Oreochromis niloticus: one gene and its partner. The protein of the gene in region 1 interacts with the protein of each later gene in a biochemical or structural test. Links are inferred from orthologs where the notes say so. Each region holds a gene or a part of one and is shown on either strand. Other genes may lie near its edges.

What was found.
Region 2: the proteins of fcho2 (region 1) and disabled homolog 2 form a complex in vitro, tested with the Homo sapiens proteins (2 studies listed by BioGRID). The link is inferred for Oreochromis niloticus from reciprocal best matches to the Homo sapiens genes FCHO2 and DAB2.

What each region holds. Positions count from the first base shown.
Region 1 is NC_031972.2:14,029,178-14,036,570, reverse strand, and holds the start of fcho2 (F-BAR domain only protein 2), read right to left. Parts: upstream 3,020-7,393; 5' UTR 2,824-3,019; coding exon 2,791-2,823; intron 1-2,790. Other genes in the region: tnpo1 (transportin-1), read right to left, coding at 7,166-7,273. UniProt on the Homo sapiens protein: Functions in an early step of clathrin-mediated endocytosis. Has both a membrane binding/bending activity and the ability to recruit proteins essential to the formation of functional clathrin-coated pits.
Region 2 is NC_031972.2:13,876,442-13,883,382, reverse strand, and holds the start of disabled homolog 2, read left to right. Parts: upstream 1-3,873; 5' UTR 3,874-4,002; intron 4,003-6,941. Other genes in the region: complement component C9, read right to left, coding at 568-743, 1,026-1,160, 1,273-1,513, 1,618-1,839, 1,948-2,086, 2,859-3,000, 3,080-3,230, 3,452-3,536 and 1 more. UniProt on the Homo sapiens protein: Adapter protein that functions as a clathrin-associated sorting protein (CLASP) required for clathrin-mediated endocytosis of selected cargo proteins.

The DNA of each region.
Region 1 (7,393 bases):
TTTTCTAATGTGCTAAATGTGTGAAGTTGGGACTATGGGCAAATGAATTATTGCACATAGGTGCTGAGTGTGTAAATCTTTGGTATGCAGGCAGGAAAGTGGCACAGTGTAGCAGTTTACCTAAGCTCTAGGGGAAACTTATGAAAAAACTTCATAAGTTTCCCATGCTTGTTATTACAGCACTGATGTTGTGCTTTAGGAAGGGGGAAACAATACACAGGATTAGAAGTGTCTAAGCTGACACAACTTCTTCTCCTGTTCCGGTGTGTGCTCAGGTGAGAGCAGTGGAAAGAATTGCACGCTCTCCCTGAGGAATTTAGACAGAGCCAAACAACACAGTGTCTCTCCAACACAGACTGTAAACGGTGGCCGGTACAGCCTGTGGAGCACACAGACATGAGCTGCGCAGACGGTGCCTTGACATCAGAGTGTCTGGCCTCAGTCATGTGACCAGAGAGGTCTGGGAGCGGTGCACTGAGCTATCACAGCTCATCACAGACAACACACGCAGCTTTAGTATGCGGTATGCACACAGAGGCTGGGCTTTGTTTGTGGTAGAAACAAATGAAAACTTGACCATTACTTAACTTGTTAGTGATGATAACGCCAAAACAGGTTGGTCTAATGCAACTAAAACCGACTCATTTAAATATAAAGGGAAAAATGAACAACAACCAGCAAGAGGCAGGATGTTTGTTTCACACAAAAACCATAATTAGTGTAATGTTTTCACTCTCTGGTAATCTTAGAAAATTGCTACTGATTCTCAAGGCTGTTGGGTTGAACCACCACTCAATCCAGTTACAAAACCTCAACAAGCCCTTCCTCTGAAGGCAGAGCCATACTGGTTTGATTTGAGAGACAGCTGAAGAAAATGAGGCAGCCAAAAGGATGTGTGTCACTCCTGTCCACCACTTTATTAACTTCACTCTTTGCCGTGTCATTCGGACGCTGTGTGTGAAGTGTGGGACAATATATAAGACAACATACTGGCTGTCTCTATACTGCCTACTCAGTGCTAATCTGTTAAACATAAGGTCATCATGGTTTTGCTACAACAATCCAATGACTCAGGCATTTCAGCACATAGGCCACATCTTGCACTTTTGCGCCAGAACTTCCATTAAGAAACCAAACTCTTGCTTAGATTTCGTACAGAGAAAGAAAAAGGAAATGAAACAAAGCCTGCAAATAAATCCAAGGAGTAGAAATGTTGCAGCTGGTGACCAGTCCAGTGCTGCAACTATGACAGATAAACGGCACTGCCTGAATTCCTAAAGAACTTGTATATTCAGCTGAGGAGATCCATTTTGTATAGATGACAAACAAGGGCAAAACAAAAAATGTAATGAAAACATCGGAAAAAAAGGTGAAAGATCATGGGATGTGAATGGGGAAAACCTCTCTGCTTAGCAGTATAACAAACAAACTGAAAAACTCAATATGTCTGATAGAGATGATGATGATTTGTAGTCGAGTCAAAAGGGAATAGGATGCATCTCCTCCCAGTGCCAAGTATGTGCGCTCATGTGTGTCCTGCATGTTAAACACACAGCTGATCGCTACCATCACTGGATTCTCTTGTGGCTCACAGCAGGGCACAAAGGGCAGATTGAAGAGTCAGGAGTGTCTCTGATCGCTCCTCTTTTTGCCATTTAGACATTGATGAACTCTCATTTAGGAACAAAAAAGGTGTTAGTGGGTAACAGCAGTGTTATTGGTAATTACTTCAAGCACTTAGCTTAATGTTGTTTTCCACAAATATTCATTACAGTCCCTTTATAAGCCCTGGATCACCTCCAGAGTTCAACTAAGGCTAAAACTTAAGGATGTGTTTGTCCACCTTAAAGAAGACAAGAACAGATTCTGATTGGTTGTTTCAAGCTGAGAGTCCTGTTGTATTATATATAAATGAGTAACAGATTAACAAAAAGAACAGAAAAAGAAAGGGGGAAGTTACAACATTTAGCTACAAATTTACTTATGGGTTTTATTCAAAACTATGTCGCTGTTAGAATTTGTAACATTTAAGCTATAACGCATAACCCATACTTGTTATAGTGAAATACATACACCGTCTTGACATGGAGTAGCCCTAATGAGGCTAATGCTGTGCGAGTTTCACTTCTAATGGCACTATCTTTGTGACTTCGGTGTAGTGTAACAAGTAGTAAAGGCAGACTTCTAGTTTCCCACCTGCTTTGACACAGCCACGTCAAATTATTATCGGAAGAGAAATGACCTTTAGGCAGTACGCAGAAAGCGCTGAGCTCAGCTTAACACAGCCTGTGGTCTGCGGCACCAGCTGTACGAAATAAAGTATCGCTAATTAGGTTGGTATTGATGCTTTTAAATTTATTCTAACTTACTAACATCTGGTGTCTCACTGAAACTTTGTCACGGAAGAAAATGACGCGTACGACCAACGGCTATGACTGACAGCCGAGGCGTCCAATAGCATTCAGGGAACTGACCATATACGTTCCAAGCGATCCTGACCGAGCCAATTGACAGAGAACAGGGGTGGACGCTTCGACGTTTCAAGTTAGATTGGTTCACAGAGGCCCAAACCCCGGGGTAGCAAAATATTTGCCGAAGGAAATTAGCGGTGGCCGCGGGGTTGCTGACCAGGACACTGCGACTTCAGAGGGAACTAAGCTTGTGAGCTAGACGACTTCCTCTGCAAAACGAATAACACTTGATTCCTGATTGGCATGAACATGATAAGCAGGGAACATAGCATGAGAATAGCGCCGGTGTAAACACCGTGAATAAAAAAGCACCACCTACCCAGAAATTCTCTAGGAAGTACGGCGTTATCATCTTGCTTTATTCCTCTTCGCCACAACTCTTCAATTTGTTGTAATGCAACTTTTGAAGCGTATATCATCCACCGTCCTCCCCCTGTTTCTCTTGTATCTGCCTTTCCCCGTTTTCCTCCTCTCCCCTTTCTTCTCCCTCCCCACCTACAGACTCCACCTCCACCCGGCTATACTGCGTCTCTCCCCTATGGTTTATTCCCGTAGAAATGTAGACGTTCAGTGGGTGAAACAGCGCTATCAATGGCGAAGAGAGACACCACAGTCGCCGGGTGAAATGCTGCCTTCAAATGCTTTACGTACATTTGAAGGCAGCATTTCACACAGAAGGCCAAAATTGACTAAAATACACATAAACTCTAACGCAGCTATGTGAAAATAATAGTATATAAAAATAAATAATAAGATATTATTAGCTATATTACTGTTTGTTTTAGTCAGCATTACAAATTCAGCATCTACAGATATGTCTCCCTGTTTAATAAATCTATGTGCCGATTTGTTGTGCACTAGTGGGTAAAGATTATTCATACCCGTTTAAACGTCATTTTCCAGTGGGATTGTTTATTCAACACACGTTCCACAAATATTGCAAAAGCAAATACTCTTGTTACGGTTGTGGTTTATTTAAAGCATAAGAAAAGGTCTTCTAACACCAAGTCTATGAATAAGCCTTTACATTTATTTAAACTGATTTATAGATTTGTAGCAGTATGTCACTTTTCAAGGTTTTGCAAATCATCATCTGTCAGGCAACAAGCATCTAGGTTTTGGAATAAATTGTCTTTCCACGTTAGACAGTTACATTGTTCATTTTTAAATCTTGTCTTAAACACCTGTATATTGCCTGGCCTTTGACCCAGTGTGAGACGTTGATCTTACTTGTTTTTAATTGTACGATAGTTGTTTTTGTAAATGATTGCTTTCACTCTACTTATTCACTTTTGTGTACAACCAGTTTGCATCTGCTGTGGCTGTTTCAAAGTGCTTTATAGATAAATATTGTATTTAAAGGCCCATTTAGAGTCGGCACAGTGGACAGAGTCTGTTATTTGTGTAATTCAAATTTCACAAAGCCTGATAATTTACCAGTGACATTGCAAAGAAAAAAAAAAAACCTTGGAGAAAATACATGATAAAGGCCCACAATAATGTAAACAATTTATTGGAACAATGTACAGATTCAAGCAATGGTAACCAGTCACACCCACTATATCATCTTACAAATATTACAAAATTACTACAGTACAATATAGAGTCTTTGCATGATCCAAAAAATTTGGTGGCCCCAAAAGTATTACTTATTTTTAAAATTCAGCAGCTTATAAAAAAAAAGAAGAAAAATCAAAACATGTCGATGAGAATGTTTTCACTTTCATTAGCAAAAGGATGAAGGCAGATAATCTAATCAAGTTTAAAGGCTAATTAAACTGTAGACTACTAGAGCTCCTTGACTAGACATTCCTTAATATTAATGGGTGCTTTATAAAATACAAATTTTTCAATAAAGCTTCATAGAAAGTCAAACCTATATTTGCAGAGAGTTTTTAAGTTGTCAACATATGCAATTACTTTTAAATCAGCTTTCACCTGCATCTCTACATACAGTGTACTGTATTTCTATTGCAAAACCCCAGCAAAAATCCTCAAAGTATTTGCATTCAAGGCATTGTGCAGAGATTACACCATTTACCTAAGCCTGATAACAATCACGTTTGACAATAAGGATGTAAAAGTAGGAATCATTCCTACTTCCTGGTTTCCAACTGTAATCCCACTGTTCAGCTAGCAGTGTTGCATGTATTAACGCTAATGTGAATTAACACCCATTTTGAAGATGATGGGGTGGGTTTTTAAACCAATCTTTCCTTGTTTGAAAAGATGTGGAAAGGTGGAGACATGAGGAAACCAATTAAAAACCAACCAACAAACACACACATACACACTAGACATAAACACAACCTGAGGTTAACACAAAAACATATTCATATAGTGAAACACAAGTACAATGTATAGCAGCAGTTACGTCAAAATTATAGCACAGTAGAAATTGGGATTGTTGTGTGTTTTGTAGTACTACTATCTTTTGAAGAAAGAACAGAAGTGTGTGCACATCCACCCCGTCAAGCTGCGATTACTTCATATTTTTGCAAGCCAAACAGCTGGAATGTGACAAGACAAAAATCACTTCTAAACACATAAAGATGTGACACATACGAGTATTTGCCTCTGTATTCCATGATGCATTATAACCTGCATTCATCGTGTACGTCCTCAAAACATGTTTCATCTAACATTAGTAATACACTTCATAATGTGGCAGTTGAGCCAATACATTAAACTACTTCTACACTCCAATATCCCAATTGGATCAAGATGCTTAATGCATTAAGGTCCACACATTTTAGCAGCAATGCTTAACGATCTGTCGGGTCATATTCTAAAGTGTTTGGCTACATCATTCATTTTAAGCACTTGCTAAGTAAGTAAGTCGGTAAGCAAGTAAGTAAATTGTAGGTGCATCACAAAGGATTTAAATACTGCAGTTATTACTCTGGCCAGCAGAGGAAGAATGGATGGGCATAAAAAATAAAAAAAATTAAAATTAAACAAAACAATAATATAAAAATAAAAAAAAAATAAAAATCCATCATGGAATACATTCAGGCCATCTGCAACTTAAACATATAGATTAAAAAAAAAGAAAAACATAACACTGCAACACAAGAAGACAACAACATGTAATTTCACAGTATTTAAAATCTACACATCCAACTACAGGTGAAACGTGAGGGAGAGAACACTCCAGCAAGATTACTGTGAAGACTTTAAAAGTCACAGTGATGCTGAACATAAGTGGTTGCTATAAAAAAAATAAATAAAGCAAAAACTTGATTGAAGCTCCTGCAACCTTCCCACTTTAAGTTGGGGTGTAAGGGGCCACCAACATGCAAAAGATGAAAGTACCCCACAGTGACAACCACCCAAAACATTAGAAAGTCATCCTCAAGATCATGCTTTTAGCACAAAAATTCCAACAATCAATAACAAAAACGTCAGTACATTGAGAAATTAACATAGTTAACATTGATTTGATGGTTTATATGGTTCTGACGACCAAAGTCACAAAAAATCAAAATAAAAAAAAAAATTAAAAAAAATCACTGAGACAGGATTTGTGTCATTGTGATATTTACGTCCAAAACACAATGACACAATAATCAACAAACAGGATCTTGTTATCCTGCATGCTTCTCCTTCATTTGTCCTTTCCGAGGCTCAGACAATATAAAAGGATAAAGTAAGCATCTGAAGCTTTGATATGCCTGCAGATGAATGTCCATGTCACATTCACGCCACAAGACCAAACAATGATTCACTCGGACATCACGCCACAGCCAAGATTTTACACATTTTCCTAAAAGTCAGTGTGTGTAAAGCCCGTCATGCTACATTACAGCTGATTGCCGTAAATCTCCAGTAGAAGAAAACATGAGTACTGTAAATACAAGACCCAAAAAAAGAACCTTATCAAAGCTCAACGACAGCTGTCAACACATTTCACTACAGCTTTTCCACAATGATATACACATGCTACCCATTTTCAGAAAAGCTGCTCATTTAAAGAACAACCACCCACCCCCCCCCAAAAAACAAAAAAAAACTATGTGCTCCTTGTGACAAAACAGCCTTTTCTATAGGAACTTTAAACCATCTCTGTACTTACAAGAAATGTGTCTCAAAGAACCTTCAGCTTTACTTCACAATACTTCTCGTTTACGCTTATAAACGCATATCTGAGCAGAAGACCTACATTTCTCCTTGTCTAACAAAAAGTACAGGGTTTTGTAAAGATTTCTCCATTTTTGCATTCATTTCTTCTCAGTAGTCCAGAAAACAAGATGTTTGGAGAATAAATGGAGAGGAAAAAGCAAAAACAAACAAACAAACAAAAAAAAAACAACAACAACAACCAACAAACTACAATTTCTGATTGAGATATGATTAGATGAATTTTCCTCCAGTGATAAGGTTGTCCTGCCAGTCCCTTTTGCCCCTTTGCCTGTGCATAGGGGCACTGAGAACTGTAGCTATCATCTCCCTCCCACCCCATCCACCAGGTCAAGGAGGGGGTCAGCACCCCTTCCCCTTCCCTCAGCAGGCAGATCCTTCCCCCCAGTAAAGGGTAACATGCTCCCTGGGATGGTTCCCGATATTGTCTCCCATAGTGAATGACCTGTATATAGAGAAAACCCTGATTAGGATGCAGCATTTTGGGTTAAATAATAAAAATTATTTTCAGAGTGGAACCGACCCCAACGATGAGGCACGTGCTGTGGAAACAGTTACACCCCGTAAAAGGTTGCCAACCGTTCCTTCAGTGGCATTGGAAACTGATCTGCGAAGCGTCTCCAGTTGTCGTCTCCCACCTGGTTCTTAAACCCATGAAGGATCTGAAATTAAACACCACGAGATGTTTATACTGAGGAGTGCCTTTCAAAATAAATCCTGTGCACATAAAGTGTCAACTGCAAAAGCTGCCATTCCTGAATTTGGTCACTAGGGAGCAGCAA
Region 2 (6,941 bases), about 150 kb from region 1:
AATACCCAGAATGTAGGCATTACAGTGGTCCCTCGCTATAATGCGGTTCACCTTTGGCGCCTCGCTGTTTTGTGTGCAATTTTGCACGCTTTTTGTTTTTTTACAGCGCATCGTGTTCTGCGTCCTGATTGGCTGTAGACCATGGTCAGTCAATCTCGTGCCGTGTCTCCTGTACAGTGCAGAATGCGTTCAGCTTGTCAAATTTACATAAATCTTCGATCACTAGCAGTGTGACTCTGAAGTGCTGGACCGCGGGTGCCTTTGGTTTCATTCTATAATACTGGACTTATTTTTCTACAAAGGTTTGAACTTTGAGAGAGTTTAAACAAGAGAGAAAAGTGTGAAAATGTTCATGCCTTTCTGAGAAAAGTGTATAAAGTGTGTAGTGAGGGGTTTTACAGCCTTAAAACATCTATAACAATTGTAAAAAATAAAGTTGGCTACTTCGCGGATTTCATTTATTGCGGGTTATTTTTAGAACGTAACTCCCGCATAAACACATACATTTATACAGTATGTGTAATTCAGTTTAACTTGCTCTCGCCTTGCTGTGACCTTTATACGTACCTCACTGTGGAGCAATGCAGGGGCATCTGTGATGGTCCGGGCCCATTCCTGATATGTTGCAATGTCCATCACTCCGTCCCTATTTAGTTTAGCTCTCATACTAACAGCACTTTGTAGGGTACCTCCCTTGACTGATGTCATCACCTCATCCACCATAGCTTTTCCTTCAGCCTTACCTGTGTGGCAACAGAAAAGGAAACTTTAGTGACTTTTCATAATCAGTGCAGTGACTCGCTCCAAATTCAGTTTTAGACTTTAACTTTGGATTTGAACTTTACTGTTTTAATACAGTTAAGTTTCATGCATACAGCATTCCTTTCTTCGTTTTCTTTTTTCCGGACTAGTTGAAGTAAAACACCCAAATACACTTAAACTGTGAAAAGTGGTTGGGAATTTAGTCAGAATCATCAAGCATGCTAGCTTTGTTCATTTAACCTGGAAAAACAGGGAATGCAAACCTTCGTTCTTTTCTGTTTTATTATCACAATTTTTAGGCTTATAGTGTCCGCTTAAACTGTCCGTCGTATGTATGGAACTGAGGCCTCCTTCAATGCCTAATGTGACGCACTCTTGAACTTCTCTCTGCGTCATATCTGCAAGAACAATAAAGTATAGATAATTAGTGCTTATCACTTGTATTTAATCAACATACCATAAGGCTGAAGAAGCTTCATAGCAGAAAAGAATTATTTCAAATAGACATACTTCTTTGCTTAATGGTGTCATGGTCGAGGACATAGATCAATTCGTATTCACCGCCGGTTTTCCCATTTTTTGTGTAATGGGTTCCATAGTCCTCCAGGAAGGCAAAATAAATTCCCTTCTCGTATTGCAAAGGTAAAGATTTGACATGCGCCAGGAATTCATCTGCTACTTTGAGCTCACGGGAGCGCATCCTGTAGGTGCTCAATTGTACTTTGCCCTTCACCCGCATAAAGGTGTTGTTCTAAGTTTGTGGGGTCGAAAAAAATAGAGATGCAGCTTGTCCATAGAATATTGATTATTCTGGGTTGTACATTAGATTCTGTGAAATTATTAGAGGATATTTACCTTAATTTTGGTGTTTTCGGTGACCGTTTTAATCATTGATTTCTTCTCATACTGACTCTCTAGTTTAAAATTTAGAGAAGTATTGGACAAAGACACCTCAGTTGGGGTGAATTTGAAAGAAAGACCAGCATCAATGTTGACACTCATCTCAGTGAGGATTTCACGCAGAAGGCTGTGAGTGTTTTCGAAGAGTTCTTTCGAAGCTGTTTCCTCCACTAATGTCTGAGACAACGGAATACATATATCAGTATTAGGTGGCAAAACAAAATCCTTTACATGTGTTCACGATCAGTTTATAATACTGAAATTTTTTTTGTTGCCATGGTTAACCTGATAGTTAAGCACGCCGACGTTCCAGGGCAGCCTGTCAAACGTCCCAGTGTTTGGATTCCTCACTCGATCACATCTCCCATTGAAGTAATCATTGTTGAATGGGTTCATTCGAGGATCTGTACCCAAGATGTTGATTCTGGTGGATGAACATAGAGGCCACTTTAAGACTTTTACAGTGTTATCCCAGTTCAAGAGTTTTAATATTATAGAAGGCCTCCTCATTCTCCTTCTTTGTGAGAGTCAGGTGAAAAGACTGATACCACTCGTGCACTCTATCTATCCATTAAACAGGATGTTAAAGTCGGAAGATCCAGGTTAAATAGCTTAGACTCTGGGTAAAATAGCCAGTACTTCCATCCAGACAAAGATTTCCTCTTATGTGAGCTGGTCATTCTTTATGATTTCAGTTAAATATAAAAAGCCATAAAAAGATAAATTGTCTGTTTAATAGGATAAAGTTCAAACCTGGCCAAGCATGGTTGGTTAGTGGCCTCAAATTAAGTACGCACAGCAAGCTCCCAGTACCCAAAGTCTATCCCTTGCCTGAAGATTCTGCATTTTTATAAGCCGATATCTTTTTGTAGGTTTGTTTCCTGCCTCATTTATGACACCTATCAGTGAAATTAAGGTGTTCATCAGTCTTTTGGTGAAAAATTTCATAACAGACCAGCTATTGTTAAAAATATTAAGAAACAAAATCTGTGAATTTTTTTGCTCAAAAGCAGCTCACATTTAAAACGCCAACTCTGCTAGGAAGCTGGTTTTCTGTAAACATTATCACCAATAGATGTTTATGTAGATGTTCACCCCAATGTAAATGATTTACTCTTTCTACCAAGTATTCATTTTACTTTGCTAATTTATACTGACTCTTTATTTCCCACTGACTGAGCTCTTTAATAACTTACCCATATCCTGCTGTCCTGCCTTGCTCATTGCTGTCAAGGACTGCCGAGCCACAGGGTTTACGCTCTGTCTCACAGTCTTCATCTGATCCATCTTCACAGTCATAGTCTCCGTTGCACATTAATCTCCTTTTAATGCAAGACCCTGTGCAGAGACAGAGAATTGCATGATACTGCTCCCCAAAAACAAAGCGATAAAGACAGAGGTACTAATACTGTGGTACCTGACTCGCACTGGAACTCTGAGTCTGAGCATGCACGGGGAGGCGGTAGCTCGCATTCACCATCAGCTACACAGAACTCCCTGTCTCCTATCGATTCCTGGCAGGCTCTACCTCCAAACTGGCCAAATGCTTCTACACTTCGAGAACGCCTCTGAGGATAATACATAGTGTCACATTAAAGATAAAGGCAGAGAGCAGCACTGCAAAAGAAGATTGGCTGTTATGAGCCGCACTGTGCATAGGTAGCAGACCCCTACTTCACCCTGTTTAGTCTGATTATTTATTATTATAGACTTAAAAAGTTAAAAGCATTCTAGCTTGGGCACTAAAGTTCACAGTCTCTGACACTGACCAAAATCCTAATTGACTCACTCTGGTTTTTGTGCAGGGATCACAAGAACTCCACCCTGACCAACGACTCCATGCACAGTCCACAGCTGGTGGATCAGGATTAGCCCTAAAATACACAAATTAGACACAATAAACTCTCTAAATAATAATAGTAAATGATTAAACAAACATCCTTAATGTTGTGTAAGTGAAGCAGGAAATATACATACATGCCTTCCCCAAGAAGTGCCAGAGTTAGACAGAGGCCAGCGAGGGCCAACTGGAGAGCGACTTCAAGCCTCATCATGAACCTTTGACAGCACAAATGATACCGTGCCTGTCCCCATTTAGTCCTTTAAGCTGCCACCTTGTTAATGATTATCCAACTGCAAAAGGACAGTGTTTTTGTTGTTGTCACAGTCAATAATTTGGATTTCAGGTGCAGCAAAAATCAATTCAGTGCTCGGAAACTCCCAAAGCAGACTTTACAGTGTTTGTCTGCATATAAACATCTTACTCACACAGTGAAGTCAATCTTTTATTCTTCACAATGCGAGCAAAGCACCCGCAAAAACACAATAACTACTATAAAAGTAAGTAATAAATCCTCTCCTTTCATAATCTATAGAAAGCGGTTATTTTTTTCATTACATTCATTTGTTTGATTAGTTATGAGCTAGTGTGTTGGTAAGGAAAACCATGATTTACTACAATAACAGAGAAAGATTGTGTTTCTAAGTATTACAATTTCCTGCTAAATGCCACCAAAATATAACAAATGAAAAATACATTGAAATGATAAAAGTGCAAATTGGACACCCTATTAAATTTATTTGGGCAAAAAAGTGCTACACTCCATAGCTCTTTGGATATTTTCTATTGGATTCTCTTTATAATATTAATTCACAATTTAATTTAATTGAAAATATATGAATTTATTAAGAACCACGTATTTCATCTGTAGCCTAATATACAACAAAAAAGAATGAACCATTATTCAATTTTTAAGTAAATATAAAAATGTGTTTTAAAACTATGGGAAGGTGTAAATGATCCCAAGCACTGGGTTTAAAGCAGAGACGCACATTTAGAAATTATATATAATTATTCTTTTTTCTGTTTATTTTCAGATTTCTTCTTTTGAGACATTGTTTTTAAGACCATTTGTTCATGTTCGTGTTTCCAGGATTACGCAACCATGCAAACAAGTCTGCAGCAAAGCAGAACAAATATTTAAAGACTCAGTTCTTGACTGTTGTAATACATTGGCATGATGCATCCACGGTACATTTAGGTCATCGTCTAAGATTGGGAAATGGAATGACAACACTAAATGTGAAAATGAATTTTCATTCAGTCCCACTGCTGAAAAAAAAAAGGTTGAATTTAGTGTAGCTGGTGTGCTGAAGTAGAGCTCTTTGTCCACCAGATGGCAACGCTGAACAGGAAACAGTAGTGTTAGTTTTGTCCTTTCTTTCACTCATACTCAGTTTTTGGGTTTAGGTGGAAGGAACATTGTTTACTCTGCAGTTGTAGAGTCTGGAAAGCAATGTGTAATGCATACACATGAATCCAAGTATTTCTCAAGTATCTGTTTTCTTTGTTAAATATACCTTTAAAAATAAATAAATAAAAAAAGCCTTGCACAACGCACAGTGAGGTTTGAACTGTTGCACCCAATCTATCATGTGATCGGGGAGACTTTTGCTGAGTGTGCAGAACTTTGTTCTTCAAGTGGAGCGAGTGCAGTTTGTATAATTTTTTTTAAGGCAAAATAGATTAGTTCTTAGTGAAGAATGCTGAAAGTAGTCTTTAAATGTAGGCAAGCAATAATTAAACTGCAATAAAAGTTTGAAAAGCTGATTAGTCACGATCGGGGCAATTATTATTAACAGAGCAGAGAGAACATTTGTAAAGTGCTGGGAGGTGAAGGGCTGACAAGTTTTTGCTTTTGTTGCTCTGAGGGAGTAACACTGATCTTTAATTCCAGAATATTCTGCATGCTCACAGGTACTTTTCTGCTGACTTCAACAAATAAACTCAGTCCTTTCCCTGATATCTCCAGAGTCATTCTGGGGGCTGCCCCGTGCTGGTTCTTTCCCTGTATCTGCAAACAAAGCTGGGGTATTCTAGGGGCTGTGTGGTCGTGGCCTAATGGAGAGGCACAAATATGTGCTGAAGTCACCACTTTTATGAGTTTCGACAGTTTCCTCCCTGCTTTCCCAGGAAACCAAAGGGTAGTTAAGGTGCTTGGCAAATGTTTCTCCTGACTAGAAAGACTTCCTGTTTTTTGAGGGGGAGCTGAAACTGTGTGGAAACACTTGTGGGACAGCATACTACACAGTCGCTCTACTACCAGTAGAATGCTGTCATCGTATTTATCAGAATACCATGACGGTGCTTCCTGCACTGCCATTTGCCCCACTGCTGTGTGTTGTTCTTTAAGAACTAGCTGCTAAAGACACTTGAGGGTTAAAGAACAAAGAGGGACATAGACAAAAAAAATCTACCTCAATTATGGCTTGGAGATAAGTGGCTATCTTTGGTTCTGGCTGTGGTGGCAGGCAGTCCCAGGATTCACGCCCTAAAATGCTTGATGTTTGGATTGTGGCCTTCCTGTCATAAACTAAGGGAAGGACACTTCCCATTAGACTTTCTCTGTCAGCATTCCATCATGAAATAAAGGCTCTAATGTGCCAGTGCTGACTTTTGCCATCTGTACACTGTTTTTTTTCTGTTTTTGCAAAGAGTTTCTTAAAACGTAGTTTTTAAGTACAGACAGTAGCATCAAACATGTACTTGTGTGTGCAAGTGCTAGTAGCACTGGGTGTGCCACTGACCTCAACTGACAATGAATCACTTTTAGAAGAACAAGGAACCATATCTTTTATCACAAGTCACTGGACAATGGTGCTGAATTGGAAAGACACGTCATGGCAGGAAAACATGATTCTTGTACTGATGTGCATGGAAGAAAAAAACAAAACAACTAACCATACATAATAATAGACACTACCAACATCCGTCTAAATACAGCATGTTGTCACATGCATATTCTTTCCAGATGATCTGCAAATGTAGGCAAATATCTGATAACATCAAAGTCTTTAATAAGAGGTTCTGAAAAAGACCATTCCAGCGGTTGGTGACCAAAGGGGAAAACAGACTCTCAGCGAGACAGTAATCTGGCTTCCGTGGGGCTCATCTCCTAAAAACCAGCCTCCGTCAGCAGAACACAGGATACAGAGTCAGGAAAGACATCCTTCCTCTGTCCTTTTCTCTCTCATTTCTCAGCTCTAAACCCACAAAACACAATATACTGTACATCTGTTAACATCAACAACACATCGCGCTTGCACTTTTTGAGAAATCTGCACACGGATCAGGTTTGAAGTCCTCATGCAGAATTTGCAATCTGGTGAATTAGCTGAGGTATACCGAGATTATTTCTCCTTTTTATTTCACATTTACAATGAATGCAATTGGGGGATAAATAGAAACTAAAAATTATTATCATTGCAAAACTATTTTA